2 linked regions of the Arabidopsis thaliana genome follow. The protein of the gene in region 2 interacts with the protein of the main gene of each other region in a pairwise test. Each region holds a gene or a part of one and is shown on either strand. Other genes may lie near its edges.

Region 1 (6,897 bases), on a different chromosome or scaffold from region 2:
CTCCAGGAACTGTGTTGATCATTCTTGCTGGTAGATTCAAGGGTAAGAGAGTTGTCTTCCTCAAGCAACTTTCTTCTGGTTTGCTTCTTGTAACAGGTGAACTCTTATCTCTCGATGGTGTTGGTTTGATTGTTCAATTTGGAACCTATGTTAATGTTTGTCTTTGTTGATTTGGTCATTTCAGGACCATTCAAGATTAATGGTGTTCCATTGAGACGTGTTAACCAAGCCTATGTGATTGGAACCTCCACAAAGATTGACATTTCTGGAGTCAACACTGAGAAATTCGATGACAAGTATTTTGGAAAGGTTGCTGAGAAGAAGAAGAAGAAAACAGAAGGCGAATTCTTCGAAGCTGAGAAAGAGGTATACAATCATCTTATGGATATTTGGTTTTATCCAAAAATGGTTATTATGTGTTTTCTTGTCTTTGTACCATTACCTAATTGAAAACTTTGGGTTGAACAGGAGAAGAAGGAGATCCCACAGGAGAAGAAGGAAGACCAGAAAACCGTTGATGCTGCTCTGATCAAATCCATTGAAGCTGTCCCAGAGCTCAAGGTTTACCTTGGAGCCAGGTTCTCATTGAGTCAAGGAATGAAACCACATGAGCTTGTTTTCTAGATTTCGTATTGTTTCTCAAATTTTAAGAATATCTGTTTCCCTGAGTATTTTCATCTTTAATCGTCCTTGGATCTTAAAGACTATTTTCTCTGATTTTATATATCAAATTTTCGAGCAATCTAGCTTTAAGACCTGGTGTTATGAATTCGATTTTCTATAAAAATGAATAAATGAAAAAGCATAAGAAATGATCACGAATTAATTTTTAATCCAAAGTAATCAACAGCAGATTTTGCCATAATTGAAGCAAACTCTCCAAAGCTTATAACACCATCACCATTTGTATCAGCTTCTTTGATCATCTCCGTTAATTCTTTATACGTTAATGGTTGACCCATCTTGGCCATTGCTCCTGCAAGCTCAGCCGCACTTATGAACCCGTTACCGTCTCTATCGAACGATTTGAAAATCTCGAGTAATTGCTCGGAATTGATTAGGACCTCTTCGTTAAGATCAGGAAGAATTGTACCAACGAGCTCATCGAATTCGACAAAACCGTTGCCGTTTGAGTCCATGCTAGCTAACAAAACATGGATTTGATCGCCGGAAGGTTTGAGACCGAGTGACCGGAGAAGTGCCGCGAGTTCTAAGATTGTTAAGCTTCCGTCTGCGTCCATGTCGAACCGGTCGAAAATGTCTTTAAGTTGTCTTATCTGATCCTCCATTTTTTCTTTCTTTCTTTAGCAACACAAATAAAAATCGATTAATCAATGTTGGCGACGAGAGAGATTGATGAGACAAGAGGTTATGATTGTCAATGAAGGGTGTGCCAGAAAGGAGATTTAAGATTGAAGTTTTGTTTCTTTTTGAGCACGTAGAATTTAGAATTCTGGATCTTTTCTATGTTTTAATGTTTTGTTTGTTCTTTTCTTTTTCGTTGGTTTGTTAATGGTTGCTGATAAAAATAGATAAGACCACATATTTTTTTTTTGTTTGAGTTAGATTGGTACTGCTATTGAAATGTGAAAATTCATAATGATTCTTTTTGCCTTTTTGGTAAAGAAAATCATATTGATTGTGGTGAAACAAAAACATGACATTGTCCTAAGAAACATAAAGATAATTAGAATTGTGACTAAATATGTGAAGCATAAGATTTAAAATAAAATTAAATGCCAATGGTTACGACTAGTGAAATGTGATAAATTCATGATAATTGTTGAGAAACAGAACATGACATTGTCCAAAGAAAACAAAAGATAATTAACTTAAAAAACCAAACAAACTAAGAAAACAGAAAAACACAAGAAACTGAAATTGAGTTGTTGATCAGACAGAATCACTTTTCCTAGCCGTCCGATTGTTACGACGAGCACAGCAACCGCAGGAATAGACGGTTATGAGGAGAATGAGGAGACAAATGTTGAAAACAAGAAGATTCCTCCACTTCTCTCTTATGTTCGCTAACACACCCGCTTTGCATGCGTTGCAGTTGAAACATAACTCTGTTTGCACGTTGCTCCACGTACCACAGTCCCCGTTTTCCGCAACTGCCGTTTCGTTTTTGCTCGGCGGTATCCAGAACGTCGCGTTTCTGAACTCGAAGTTGCAATCCGATGGTGGCTTACAACAACCTGACTGCTCATACACAATCAATACTTGAGTTACACAACCCATTATGAACAATAAATTTAACGGCTTAACATATAAGTGTTATCTTAGTTCGGCTAAAAATTGTCTTGCTTTTGTTACTATATGCAAAAACTTAACAATGAAATTTAATCATACTAAGAACGATGAAATGAACCTAGACTATTTTTTATTGATTTGTCTTTACATATATATATACTAAAGAAAGCAAAAGCTTTGATTGGTCTTCCCTTTACTATATTTATACAAAAATATCAACAAAGAAATATGTTCATACAGAAAATCGATCCAAAACAATACCTGGATGGGAGACAAGTTCTTGTGATAAAACGCATCAGCGATCTGACTAACACGACCATCACTCAAATCATCACAAACGTTAGCCTCAGCCAAACAAGACCTTATCCCAACCCATCTCTTCCCACCAACGAACCCATTAAGCCACGTCGAGAAATCCACCGTCCGGTACTCTTTATACCCTCGACCGGACACCACACGACCGGCTCCTTTGTTGGTCACAAAGAAGAGAAATATGGAGAAAATCATCAATGCAACAATGCCCCCAAACAATATGATCAAGTAGGAAACCATTGCCAAATTCTCCTTGAAACAAGATCCAATCACTCCGAGCAAAGACACCAAGAAGAGGATGAGTCCGGTCGTGAGAAGTGGTATCCGAATGGCAGATTCACAATCAGTGACGCCTTGGTGAACGAACATGTAAATCGAATAACCAATGGCCGAAGCGCCCACTAACATCACCAATGTGTTTGCTAGACCAACCATGAAATTGCTAACTCGAAACATTTTTGGAAATTTGCTTTCTCCAAATGATAAACTCGATTAACCTGATCGGATTTTAAATAGATACGGAGAGGGAGAGAGTGTTTTTTTGTTGTTGTTTGAATTTGATAATTATGTTTCGTAACGTTTTTAGTGTGTGTGTGTGTTTTTAAGTGTGTGGAGTCGTGGTTATTGGGGAAAGAGGGAAACGGTTGCTTTTTTGGTAGTGGGTTGATGATATTAGTGGAGATTATTAGCCATTGGTTTTAGAGATCGTGTGGGGGTTAAGAAGATCCTTTAGTTTAGAGGAAGTCGTTTAATTAGATTTTGACTAGGTCTTACTGCCACGTAACTAAGACTAATAATTAAACTGTCACTCGACTTTTTAAACATTGAATTTAATAAGAATTTATTGAGTACGAGATTGTTGGGAAAATTACATATAGGTTTATGTTAATTTTATTTTTAAATAAAAATGCATATTAATTCATATTTTTGTTACTTGGAAAAGGAAAAAACAAACTAAATAAGTAAATATATGAATAATAATATGTTGTGAAAAAACGTTTTTCAAGGATAAAACTCAAATTCGTGGGGGGTTTATAATATTCGTTAAGAATTGATGGAAGAAAATCCAAAAATTTATTATTGCATGGGTAAATAACACAACCATTTTATACCCTGGTGACATCTAGGAGATTTTCTTCTTATTTTGATCTTAACTTACAAGATTGATGAAATTAGTGGAATTCCAAAACGCATCTCACGTGACAAAATAACTACTTCTGGTGATAGCTCTGGTTTAGTCAGAATAGATTATAGATACCAAACATTTGGTGTATCCGAGTATTTACTTTAAAAGACTCTTCCTCCATCGTTAAGATTAGAAAAAAGAAAGAAAAAGGTGTTAGTTAATATTGAAGAAAACTAATGAGAAACTAGAATTAAATATATATCATGTACATTTGATATGGAAAAATGAAATCAAGAATAATAGCCCCTATAATCATCAGGTTCATCGAAAGTATCCATAATGGACCTGGAAATGGCGAGGCTGAGACAAACGAGAAAGAGGGCAGGATAAGAGAACATGGAGAGATATTTCCATTGATGAACAATGGCTTTTAAGATGCTCATCTGGCAACCTCTGCAACTGAGACAGTATTCGTAAGAACATTCTTCCGGAACATGGTTCTCTACGTGTTGATGTTTCCAACTCCATTCTCCTGGTTGCCCGAACATTGTCGTCACTCCACATCCTCTTGGTTGCGCGCAGCAATACCTCTATATATATCATCATTGTTAGAGAATTGATCTTTTATTACGAATGAATCAGGATGAGGTGACATAATTAAGTACTTACCCAAACATTGCTGTTTTGGCTGGCATTGAAGTTACAGTCATGGTTATGAATGATGCACTCCGTGACTTTTGCAAGTTTACTTTCAGGGACTAGCCTGCCTACCAATTGCTTGGCGGTTCGCTTTTCCTCAGCCGGGTTCTTGGCGATTCCAAAGGTTGTGTTGTAGATGAAACACTTTAAAGAGTAGCCACCAAGGACAATGCTTACGAATATCATTGCATAGATGTAGATTGTGAACATACGTTTTGAGTGACAACAGATTGCGTAAAGAGCAAACTGAGGAATCACCAGCAAGAGCAAACCAATGACGACGAAACTGCCATCCGTTTCTCGGATACATTTCGAGACTGTTTTTCTGTAATATAAACCTGTTCCCGTCATTGTTAAGCCTATGCATATAAGGATTATGGTCGCCATTGTTAAGAACCCTGTTCGTATCTCTGACATTTTTTGCAAATCAGGAAATCTAAAATGACTCGTAGAGTATATGATGTTTTGACTTGTGTGATATATGAAGAGGTTGTAACAAAGAGACAAGGAATCAAGAACAGAGAGGTATCAGTTTTGTTTTTGAGTTTTAAGACCTTAGTTTAGTCTAAAGACAGCTTTTTGAAATAGGTTAAAACTGTTTAACGGTTGGTTTTTATTCCTTATTCTAAAACCATTATTTCTAAAAATAGAGATTCAAGTTAAATCAAGATATATATAGTACACCAAACTCTTTTGACATGCAACTTCGATAAACAACAAGCAAACTCCGAAACTCCAGTTATTACCAAACTATGTACTTGAAAATAAAAGAACCTAACTTCTGTCTGACTTTTTGGTATTTGCCGGAAAGATTTTTAATTCAGGCAGCGACTCTGTTTTTTTGGGAAGGGATTTTTGTGGCGGAGTTTTCTTTGAAGTCCATCATTTTGTTCAAAGCTCCAACATAAGCTTTGACGCTTGACACCACAATATCCATTCCTGCTCCAGTTCCACTGCCAAACACAAGACAACCGGTTTGGTGTTATAATACAAGCAAGAATCAACAAGAAACAATAAACTTCGCAGATAAATCGATCCGGTTTGAATGAGATATGGGGCAAAAGAGGATTTTACCTAAAGGTTCTTTGAACCTCTTCACCAGTTATTGCGTTTGTAGATGAGTATTTGTTGCTTCCACGGATAAGAACTCTTGTGGTTGCGATGGCATCAATGCCTTCTGTTACTGCATTCATTGAGTACTCAAGCAGAGTAGCCGGTTCCTAAAGGGGGAAAAAGGTTTTCAATAAGCGATGACCCACTGGTGAGTTATTTGTAGATGAGAGCCTCAGCGGTATAAACAGTACCTTTACGATAAGATCTACTGCCTTGTAAGCTGAATCCACAGGCCCAGTTCCAATAGAACAAGCGACATGTTCTTTGCCATCAGCGTCAGCAAGTTTTACAGTTGCTGTTGAAAGCCCGAGAGTTCCACAAGTTATCTGCATTCCACTTTTAAGTACCATGAGAATTGGATAAAGACAATGAACAAGAAAAAAGAGTAAGAAAGCACATTATGATCCCAATTTCACCTGAATGTCCAGGAGTTTCCACACGGCTTCTGGCTGGAAAACTTCATCAGATACTAAAGCTATTATGTCCGCATCAGTAACTCTCTGGATCAGCAAGGGAACATATACGATCAGAAGACATTACATTAACAAATCAAGAGCACTAGAAAATAGAAAGAGTAATCCTCTACACATCCTAAGTTTATGCAGCCAGAACTAAGGAAACAAAGTACATTCCAAATTAGCCACGGAGACTCAAGTCTTATAGGTCTAACAAAGCTTTCAAAATGGCTGCGAAGCTTTTATTTGGAATTGAAAACGCAAGTTAGGTTTCCGAGGAAATACACAATAACCAAAAGCAACTACCTTTTTCTGCTCAGCCACGGTTTTGAAGCGCCAGAAAATGGTACTTAGCTGTTCATCATCTAATTGATAACCAAGCTGGAAATGTACAAAAGATAAGAGAACATTAGTGTCTCCCACAAAGATGGCAATACAAGTATTTGTATGTGTAAGATTGCTGTGCACCTCAGTCAAACGGTCTTTCAGCGCATGACGCCCACTGCATAATATATATCCAAGCAAAAGTAGAGACCAACAGTTAGACTTCTGGTTTCAAACACATATGTAGTGTACACTAGCTTATAAATTGGAAAAAAAAAATGACGCCTAATAACGTCTCGAAATTATCAGCATATCCACCAATTACAGTCTAGTTGCATTGTCTGAACAAGAAAAGGACAAATTACAGGCAAAACAGACTAAACAAGAATAACTTTCATACCTAAGCTTCCCCAAGACAATGCCAGCATCATTTGATCGTTCAAGTCCAATTTCTTCGGGACATATAATTTCATATGTACCCTTGTGTTTCAGCATTCCATCCTAAAAATGTAAAAGAGTCATTTAAGTTCAACAAGAACAATAATCATGAAGAAAAGAGGACCGTTAGGCACTAGACTGAAAGAGTGAACATGCAAATATTAACCTGGTGAATTC
Region 2 (9,329 bases):
GATTACTAAATCTGATCCGATCCATATTTGATCCACAAGATACAATCTAAAAGAAAAAGGATCTGACAGTAGATTGCTATGTTGGTTCTTTTTTGGTTGAAAGAAATCAAAAGAACAAAAGGAAGCAGATTCATCTCCTAACACAAGCCAACATGGAGTTCTTTTTAAAATTTATAGTCTTAACTTCATGAATACTTTTTTTCTAGGAAACTTCAGGAATTAGCTACAAAAGTGTCAATTGCAAGTGGCAGAGAAAAGTTAAGCAAGAGATTGACTGGCTAACTAGCTTAGCCAGGAAAAGCATGTAAAGTTGAGATTGTATACGAAGCCCAAATTCTCAGCAAAATCTTTAGACAAAAGCAAAAGAAAAGGGACCTAACAATTTGGGGTTTGAGAAACATCAAATGTCTAGTGGTAGAGACTGAAACAACGATCGACAACACAGACTCTTTCACAATTTTAATACTTGTGTCAGCAAGAAATTAGTAATCAATTCTAACTTTTATCTGCATTCCATCATATCAACTTGCTTGCAGTAGCCTACTAAAAAAAGTACTAACTAGACGAATGAGAAAGGAACAAGACCTAGTTTAGGCTTTTGAGAAGAAAACATGACAATCCTAATTAAGGGTGAACAAGAATTAGTTCTGCATAGACCTAGTTCTGTTTTATTCACTTTAGCTTCCACGGCAAGCATCAAGGCCTTCTGATGCATCATTTTTTACCATCTTAAGGAACCCATTGTTTCGAAATGGGGTCACAGTCTGCCGCAAATTAAGAAATCCTAGAACTAGAAGATCAGATTCGTACTCAGCATTACGTTCCTCATCTAGAAAAAACCCTAATCCAACACCTGAGAAACGCATCCCTCAATGTTAAACGTTATATTGAGAAATTGGTTAACAAAACAACACTTTGGTTAAACCAATTACGGTTCTCCGAATTGGTTTACTCAGTCGTATTTTAATTTTGTCATTTAACTCGATACGATAGAAATCTTCTTGTACATATTTAAACGGACTCATTTGAAACACAACAGGCCCGTTAGGCCCGCGAATTTGAAACCCATTATATGTATGTATCCGGATCTCATACCCGGTTAAATATCTCTAGGAGAAACTCTTGCATGGATGATGCATGGGCACAAGACTTGAAAATGAAAATCATGAGATGATGTAATGTTAGCTCACAACAATACATCGAATCGAACACATGAAGTGGACTCCCGTACATTCCGCATAATCATCATTAGCTTTTTGTTGCTTCTGTCTGTTGCGAGACTTCAATAACCTTTTTCACATATTTTTTTCCTTTAGCTGATTTCGTATTATTTTGTCAATAGTTTGTTTCAAAAATACGAAAAATAATCATTAATATCACGAGTAATGGATCTACTCATCTACACGAGAACTAATATATTGTTCGGGATACGAATTTGTTAAGATAATTTTTCTCTTGCTATACAACTAAACTAACTACATTTAAACTGTGATGGCAACTCAAAAATCAGGACTAATTTAAAAAAACTTTTGGAAGTCACTATCAAAACCTCTTGAACTTAAGAGATTAAATAGACAAACATATACACAACAAAGAGAAGCAACACCCACAAAACTGAAAACTGTCGTTCTTACATTTGGTTAAGGCATGTGCAATCTTATTATTGTGTGCACACAAAGTTTTTTTTTTTTTTTTGATAGCTTAAAAAGGTTATGTGAGCCTCGAGTCATCTTCAATCTTATATTATATAACCAAAAATATTATTTATTGTATTTAGATGATAAAAATTGGTGATTGTTGGCTGGAAAGTCATTGTTATTCAGACAACACATGATCATGTGATGGGTGGCGCGTGGGTCCACGTGATCCCACGTCGAAAGCCTCTCTTATAAATTTCACAAAATTAGCAAACATCCAAAGATTATATAATTTGATAATTGAATAAAAATTTTAATAAAGAAGAACGAATCTTTCTTCTGTATGTAACTCCAAACACTCCCGGCCTTTCTCATCCAGTATTTGTATCTTAAATTCTTCAAAAATTACAAAAGCAAATACCTTCAAAAATTTTATAAATAGTAACTCATCATGTTCTATTTTTTGATATAATAGAATTGTGGATCAATGTTCAAACTAATCTTTCTCTTCCTCAAAATTTAGTTTCTGCAATGTTCAGACAAAATGGACTATTGAACATGGATAATTCTTGGATCTATGAATTTTCGGTTTAGCAAAGTTAACCAATATCTCCAATTATTTATGTTTATATTATTATTTTGAAAATAAAAAATAATAAAATAAACCACTTCAAGCTATTGAAATTATTTTACAATACATTCTTTCTTCAACTCGTTTGCAAGAAAAAATAAAATTAAAACTCACAAACCAAAACAATAAGCTAAGCTTAGATCTTTCTTTCCCTGATTCTAACAAATCATCGACAACAAATAAATATTCACACACACATTTTATAAATGTCATCACCCTAATCGAACTCCTGTAAAATTTTTTATACGGATTCATCCGAGTAAGCAAACGAACAATTAGATGAACCTCGAGGAGTACTGACAATTTTCTCCGGTGGTAACGGTTGCGGCTGCCATTTTTCGCATTTTCCGCCTTTTATCATATCGGATTCCGATCTATCCATATCAAACTGCCTAATCTCTTTAAGCATTGCCACAATGTCTTTCATCATAGGCCGATCGGATGCCTTGTTGCTCACACAAAGGAACGAGACCGCTAGAGTTTGTAGCATCTCATGCATTATAGGATCTGCCCGCCCGCGGAGTCTCGGGTCAAGAATTTCTCTAGGATCTTTCTTTCCGGCTAAATGATCTCTCACCCATTGAACCAAATGAGCACCTCCGGGTAGATCCGGGTCCAATGGATGCTTCCCGGTTAAAACTTCTAGTAGCACCACTCCATAGCTATACACATCACTCTTTTCTGTTATATGTTGCATCGAAGCATGTTCTGTAACAAAACAAATAAAATCCGTTATAAAGTTAATATTTCGAAATTGATAAGTTTATAACGTTAAAATCGAAATTTTGAATTTTACCTGGAGCCATGTAACCATAAGAACCGGCTAACGGAGGCCGGTTACTCAATTTAGACGAATCTCCATCGGTAACTCCCTCACCGGAGACGATTTTTGCTAAACCGAAATCGGCTAAGTAAGATTCGAAGCGGGAACCCAATAAGACATTCATAGCTTTAACGTCACCGTGTAGAATCGGAGGAAGACAATCATGATGAAGATAAGCTAGTGCATGTGCAACGCCTAAAACGACGTCGTAACGTGCTTCCCAATCAGCTCCTCCACTTCCTTTACCGGCACCGTGAAGCAGAGAGCTTAAACTTCCGTTAGGAAGATAATCATAGAACAAAAGCTTCAGATTCCGATTCGAACACCAACCCAAAAGACGGATTATGTTCCTATGTCGAATCGATCCAAGAGTGTTGATCTCTGAGTTAAACGCTCTGTTTTCTTCCTTTGACCACATTTTCTTCACAGCTAAAGTTTCACCGGACGGGATTGTGACTCTGTAAACTACACCGGAGCTTCCAGTTCCGATCACGTTAGCTGAAGTTAAGTTCTTGACGATGTCGTCGATGGAGAAATCGAGTTTCTGATAAAGAGTCACTTCCCAAGAATCTAACTCCTCTTGTTTTCCGGTGATTCGTTGAGCTTTGACGAGAGTGTAAACCGCCATGAGAACAAGAACGACGCTTGCTGCTACGAGGATCGACATGGTTACTTTGACAGCCGAACGGTGTCGGGTTTGGATCCCATTCTCGGGTCGGGTCGAAATAAATAGCCCTTTGTTTGATTCAAGAACAGAGAGTGGAAGTTTCCTGAAAAACAGAGTATTTGGTAACTCGCCTGAGAATTCGTTGAAGGAGATGTTGAGTGAGACGAGGTTCTGTAGATCAGCTAAGACGTTTAGGTTTCCGGCGAGTTTGTTGTGAGAGACATCGAGGGTTCCGAGATTAGTGAGGCTAGAGAATCTCGACGGGATCTCTCCGGTGAAGTGATTGCAGCTGAGATTTAGAGAGATCGCAAGAGACGGGATCCGTCCTAACTCGTTAGGGATTTCTCCGGTGAAGCCATTGTCGCCGAGGTTGAGAAGCTGAAGACTCCGACAGGAAGATATCTCTCGAGGGATTTCGCCGGAGAAACGATTCTTCGCGAGATTGAGCTTCGTGAGTTCGGTTAACGATCCGATTCCGGTTGGTAGAGAACCGGTTAATGAATTATCGGATAAATCAATGAATTGTAAGCTCTTCGGAAGTGTACCGGGTAAACCACCGGTTAAACCGTTTGAATGTAGATCGACGAATTCGAGACTTGTACAACCGGAGATCTCCGGAGGAATGTTTCCGATGAGACGATTCTCACTTATATCGATGAAGTTGAGATTTTTCAGATTCCCAATCTCCGCCGGAATATTCCCCGCGAGTCTGTTACCGTTGAGTCTTAACCGGTAAAGATTCGTGCAGTTTCCAATATCCGGTGGTATGAATCCAGATAAGTAGTTAGAGAGAAGAAGAAGCTTCGTGAGGTTTCGAATCTCAAAGATTCCATTAGGTATCGAACCAGAGAGATTGTTGTAGGAGAGATCAATCGCTTGAAGCTCTTGACATTGAGAAAGAGACTCTGGAATTATTCCGGTTAACTGATTCTGCCACGCAAAGAACATCGTCAAGCTTGTTAATTTCCCGATCAACGGCGGAATCTCGCCGGAGATTTGGTTGTTATCGATCTCTAAATGCGTCAACTTCGTGCAATTCGCGAGTTCTTCAGGGATTGTACCGGAGAGCTGGTTAACACTTAGCTGAAGCTCTTGGAGATTTGGAAGGTTTCCGAAGCTTCTTGGGATGTTTCCGGTGAGGAGATTTTCCGATAAATCGACGAGGAAAAGCTCCGGACAGGTGCCTAGCTCGGTAGGGATCTTTCCGACGAGATTGTTTTGCCATAAGAGAAGACTTTGAAGCTTCTTGAGACGTCCCATTGATACAGGAATCGATCCAGAGATTGAGTTTTGGTACAAGTAGAGGTTTTGAAGCTCTGTGCAGTTTCCAATCTCATCAGGGATTGGACCAGACAAGAGTGACGTGTAAAGAGCTATTGTCTGAACCTTTTTCAGGTTTCCGATCGACGCCGGAAGTCTACCGGAGAGACTTGTTTCGGCGAGACCTAAAGTCACAAGACTCTCGCAGTTACCAATCTCCCAAGGAAGCTCTCCTCTGAGATTCTTGTTACCACCTGCACGGAAGATTTCTAGATTCTTGAGTTCTCCGATGGTTCTAGGAATCTCTCCGGCGAGTTTATTGTCGAAGAGAGTGAGCTCGATGAGGTTAACGAGATTCCCTAACTCCGATGGAATCACACCTTCGAGATTATTTGTGTTGAGAGACAGAATCTTTAGTTTCTTGAGCTTGAAGATATCCACAGGGATTTCACCAGAGAGAGAATTATCAGCTAAATCAAGAACTTCTAGCTCCGACAAGTCTCCAAGCTCCTTAGGGATTGAACCAGTGAGATTCACGGAGGTTAAGCTGAGCAAAGTCAGAGACTTTATCTGTCGGAGATTCGTCGCCGGTAACGGACCTTGAAAATCCATGACTTGGAGTTGTATCTCCGAGACTTGACCTCTTTCGTTGCATTTGATTCCCACCCATTGACAAGGATTCGATTCGGAGGCTTTCCAAGAAGATAAAGCGTCTCCGGAGATGTTCAACTGAGATTTCCATGAGAGGAGAGCTAGACCCTGTTCGTCTATGGAAAAACAGGGGATGGAGAAGAAAAGAGAGGAGTGAAAAAGAAGGAAGAGGAAGAAGCAGAATCTAGGGTTACGTGGCATTGGTGAAGAGGGAGAGGAAGAAGAAGAAGTGAGAGATAGAGAGAGAGGTGCGTTGGGATTGTGAAGCGAAGAACCCCATGGATTTGGTTTTTACTTTGATTTTATAGAAATATATAAAAACAGAGCAAACCAAAGGAGAGAGAGAGAAGAAGAAGTAGTAAAGGAAGATCTGGATCCCAAAAAGCACCTCTACCTTTTTCCCTTTATTATTATTTTCCAAACAATGTCACTTTATTTTTTCACCATTATTTGTTTGTGAACAAAACAGAATTATATAAGTTGAAAATTAAATAAAAATATAGATGAAAAGAGTGGTAAATTATATTTATTCCTTTTCTTGTAAGTGGATTTATCTGTGGTAAATGCTTCTAGATGAGGCATGCTGATAATATTATTCATAAATGGTAAAAAAAAAAAACTCCTATAGATCTAACTATTACATAGTCATAAATCATCTAAGAAAATTAGGTTATCAAATTCAGAAAATGACATGTTAGAATTGGCCCTATTATTTGTTATTTCTGGATTGTTATCTTTTAAGAAACAAAAGGAAGATAACGTTTACTCAGATCAATAATGACTTCTAGACTTCTAGTTACTAATAATGATATTTGTTGAATGCTACTACTAGTAGTACTACTACTACCTATTATTGATAAACGACGCATAACATAATTGGGGTTTTCTAATGCTTCGAAAGAAACATTTAGATAATTTGGATTGTGATTATTTGTTTTTTTTTTTGTTTACTTTGGGAGAGTCTGAAGTGGCTATATAGTGGTAAAAATGAGATTAGTAAATAACTGAAAGAAAGATGGAGATATCTACTTTGGATTTCTGATATATAAATTATTAAATTAGTAGTTGAAACATGGAATCTTGAAGAGTGTGAAATGCACATGAAAGCTAGGAATTTATGTGAAAGATTAATTAAATTTACTAATGCTCATCTCTGCTAGCATTGTCGGTCCATTTCATTCGCTGTAATTATCTGTTTATATCATACGTATGCTAATACTAATTAATATCCATATACATATATACACTTGCTCATACATATATTGAATTAAGATGAAGGTGTTTTAGATCCAATTTCTTGGACTGGAAATTTAGAATACTGATTAGAAAAATTAAAAAGGAGGAACTGGACAAAACAAAAAGATTATGGAAAAGATAAAGTAAACTAAAATTAAGATCATGGGTCAAGCATCATTAGGTCAAGAAGATTATATATAAAGATATAACACCACACCTCAAGTCACATGCCATAGTAGAATCAAAAGATTAAATATGTATCAATAGATATGTAGAGAGATGGTTATGCATGTGCATATCTATACACATAGTAAAGTGAGAGAAAGCATTTCGACAACATGGTTTTATTCTGCAGGTATTTAATTATGGAATAGTGTGTACTCTAATTACCGTAAATTTCACTTAAAAACTGGTGATGTTAATCATATATTGATGTAATATGTTTCGTAATATGTAACTTTTGTTGTAAGTTAGAGACAACAGATATTCTTTCATTTTAAAGAGTTACATTAATGGTAAGCAAGTAACAAAGTTTCTTTCTCACAAAAATACGAATATCTCTTGGGGTCTACCACATTTACATGAAATGTACATACTAAATCATTTGCATAAACAGTACTAGTGTGTCTAAATCATTCTCAGGCGCACCGTGGTACAAATGACCTCAACTTTAAGACCAAAAGTTTTGCTAACGCTTTGAATTCGACGTATGTACATATTTCGTGTGAGGCATTTCATCATTTGGACTAAGCTCCAACGTTTTGTCAACCCTTGATCTATAACTTCTTTCTTTGGTTTATAACTTATGGAGTATTTGTTTAGTTTTAATAAATAAATAAGAGAGTCATACCAAAATAAAATTAAAATAAGAGACGAACATGTGTGGGGAGAGTTAAATGAATATGGTCCATAAAGAGGAAAAATAAAAGGGAAAACAATAAGCCAAAAACCAACAAACAAGAAGGAAGTAAAGAGACAGCAAAAGATGCAAGAGAAAAGACAAGTACCCAACTGTATTTTCCAAACTTGTTAAAATTTTGATTTCTTTCTCAAATCTTATGATTATCATTAAATGGTCCATATTGTTCTTTTGTCTATCGCATCTATCGTTATTTGAATTAGTGTCGTCGACAATTAATGACTGTTATAGCTAAGCAGCTTCCAAATTATACATGTTCACATATGTATGCAATGAAGGGTGATGGTTTTTATTATAATGAAGTGTGATGGTTTTTCTTACTTTTAAGAAAGTTAATAGTGATGATAACAATTAAGATAAATTAAAAGATGTAGACTTGATTACGACAATGGAACAAGATCTGGATCTATATCACGTTTCGATTAGGTCAGAGATCTCACCACATGATGATAGAGCAATAGAAAATACGTCTAGGGATATATATATAAGCAACTAAGGATAAATATTACTAAGTGAGTGTTATAAATTACTAATTAAGTGGATCTGATCGATGATTATGATGGGCAATTTTTTACTTAGTTTTTTTTCTTTCTTTCTGCTAATTAAGTATATACAAGCATTTGTCTGTATCAATTTTATAAATTCAATTATAATAATAAAAACTGGTCCACTGTGGGGTATTTAGTAGCAGAAGCAGTCCAAGAATGTAGTGGCAGAAGTGTGAAAAGAAGTGGGCATCGATCAAAACTACTTATTTCTTTGTTAATTTGTCGATCCAATGAATATAACATATATTATGGTTGATCATGATAATGCTACGTCTTATGAGTGGCCATGTTGATAAAATTCCATTGGTTGTAACCACTCATACGACTACGAAGACACTGTAGTAAGAAAACCATTTAGATACTTGCTGATAATATGGAAAACCAACCAATCCAAAAAAGAGGAAATTTTCTAATATTAGTATTTAGAAAAGGCGAATAATTAGATTCATGCTTAAATTAATGTGGACGACGAATCACATAGTCAATATATAATCAAAGCTCATACACATTTCAAATCGAAAAACAAAATCCAAATATATGTGATGTACCATTTAGTGAAATTATACAGAAGAAGATTATGAGCCATGGAATGTTTCAACTATGAAAAAAACTAATCCACACGCACATAGGAATATGATGATTTCTTTCGTCGAGGACATATAGGATGATATTGTTAGATAAAACTTTTTATTACTAATTTGGGACATCTCCATATCAAGTGTGAACCCTATTATATATAGTTTGTAGTGTATAATTGATTTAGGAAAGTGTATATTTACAAAAACTGATATATATGCATGAATGTATGTAAGTAGACATTTTGTGTTTGTAGGTATGTATATGATGTGAAATGAGATGGGGCCAATGATAATGAGATATGGCTTTAAGAGGGAAATCATAATAGTGACCTTTTTTGTGATGACAACAACCACACGTGCTCTCATTCCTTCTACCAAA

What was found.
Region 1: the proteins of AT5G56040 (region 2) and TET11 interact in a protein complementation assay, tested with the Arabidopsis thaliana proteins (one large-scale study listed by BioGRID).

The regions. Positions count from the first base shown.
Region 1 is NC_003070.9:6,371,175-6,378,071, reverse strand, and holds TET11 (tetraspanin11), read right to left. Parts: upstream 3,167-6,897; 5' UTR 3,022-3,166; coding exon 2,515-3,021; intron 2,203-2,514; coding exon 1,894-2,202; 3' UTR 1,739-1,893; downstream 1-1,738. Other genes in the region: AT1G18540 (Ribosomal protein L6 family protein), read left to right, coding at 1-96, 185-366, 469-624; AT1G18530 (EF hand calcium-binding protein family), read right to left, coding at 816-1,289; TET16 (tetraspanin), read right to left, coding at 3,982-4,281, 4,361-4,807; MAML-4 (methylthioalkylmalate synthase-like 4), read right to left, coding at 5,211-5,343, 5,465-5,610, 5,695-5,829, 5,920-6,003, 6,265-6,339, 6,427-6,460, 6,683-6,783, 6,887-6,897. UniProt on the Arabidopsis thaliana protein: May be involved in the regulation of cell differentiation.
Region 2 is NC_003076.8:22,691,591-22,700,919, reverse strand, and holds AT5G56040 (Leucine-rich receptor-like protein kinase family protein), read right to left. Parts: upstream 6,098-9,329; 5' UTR 5,871-6,097; coding exon 3,065-5,870; coding exon of another isoform or gene 3,009-3,064; exon of another isoform or gene 2,977-3,008; coding exon 2,510-2,976; 3' UTR 2,275-2,509; downstream 1-2,274. UniProt on the Arabidopsis thaliana protein: Receptor with a serine/threonine-protein kinase activity.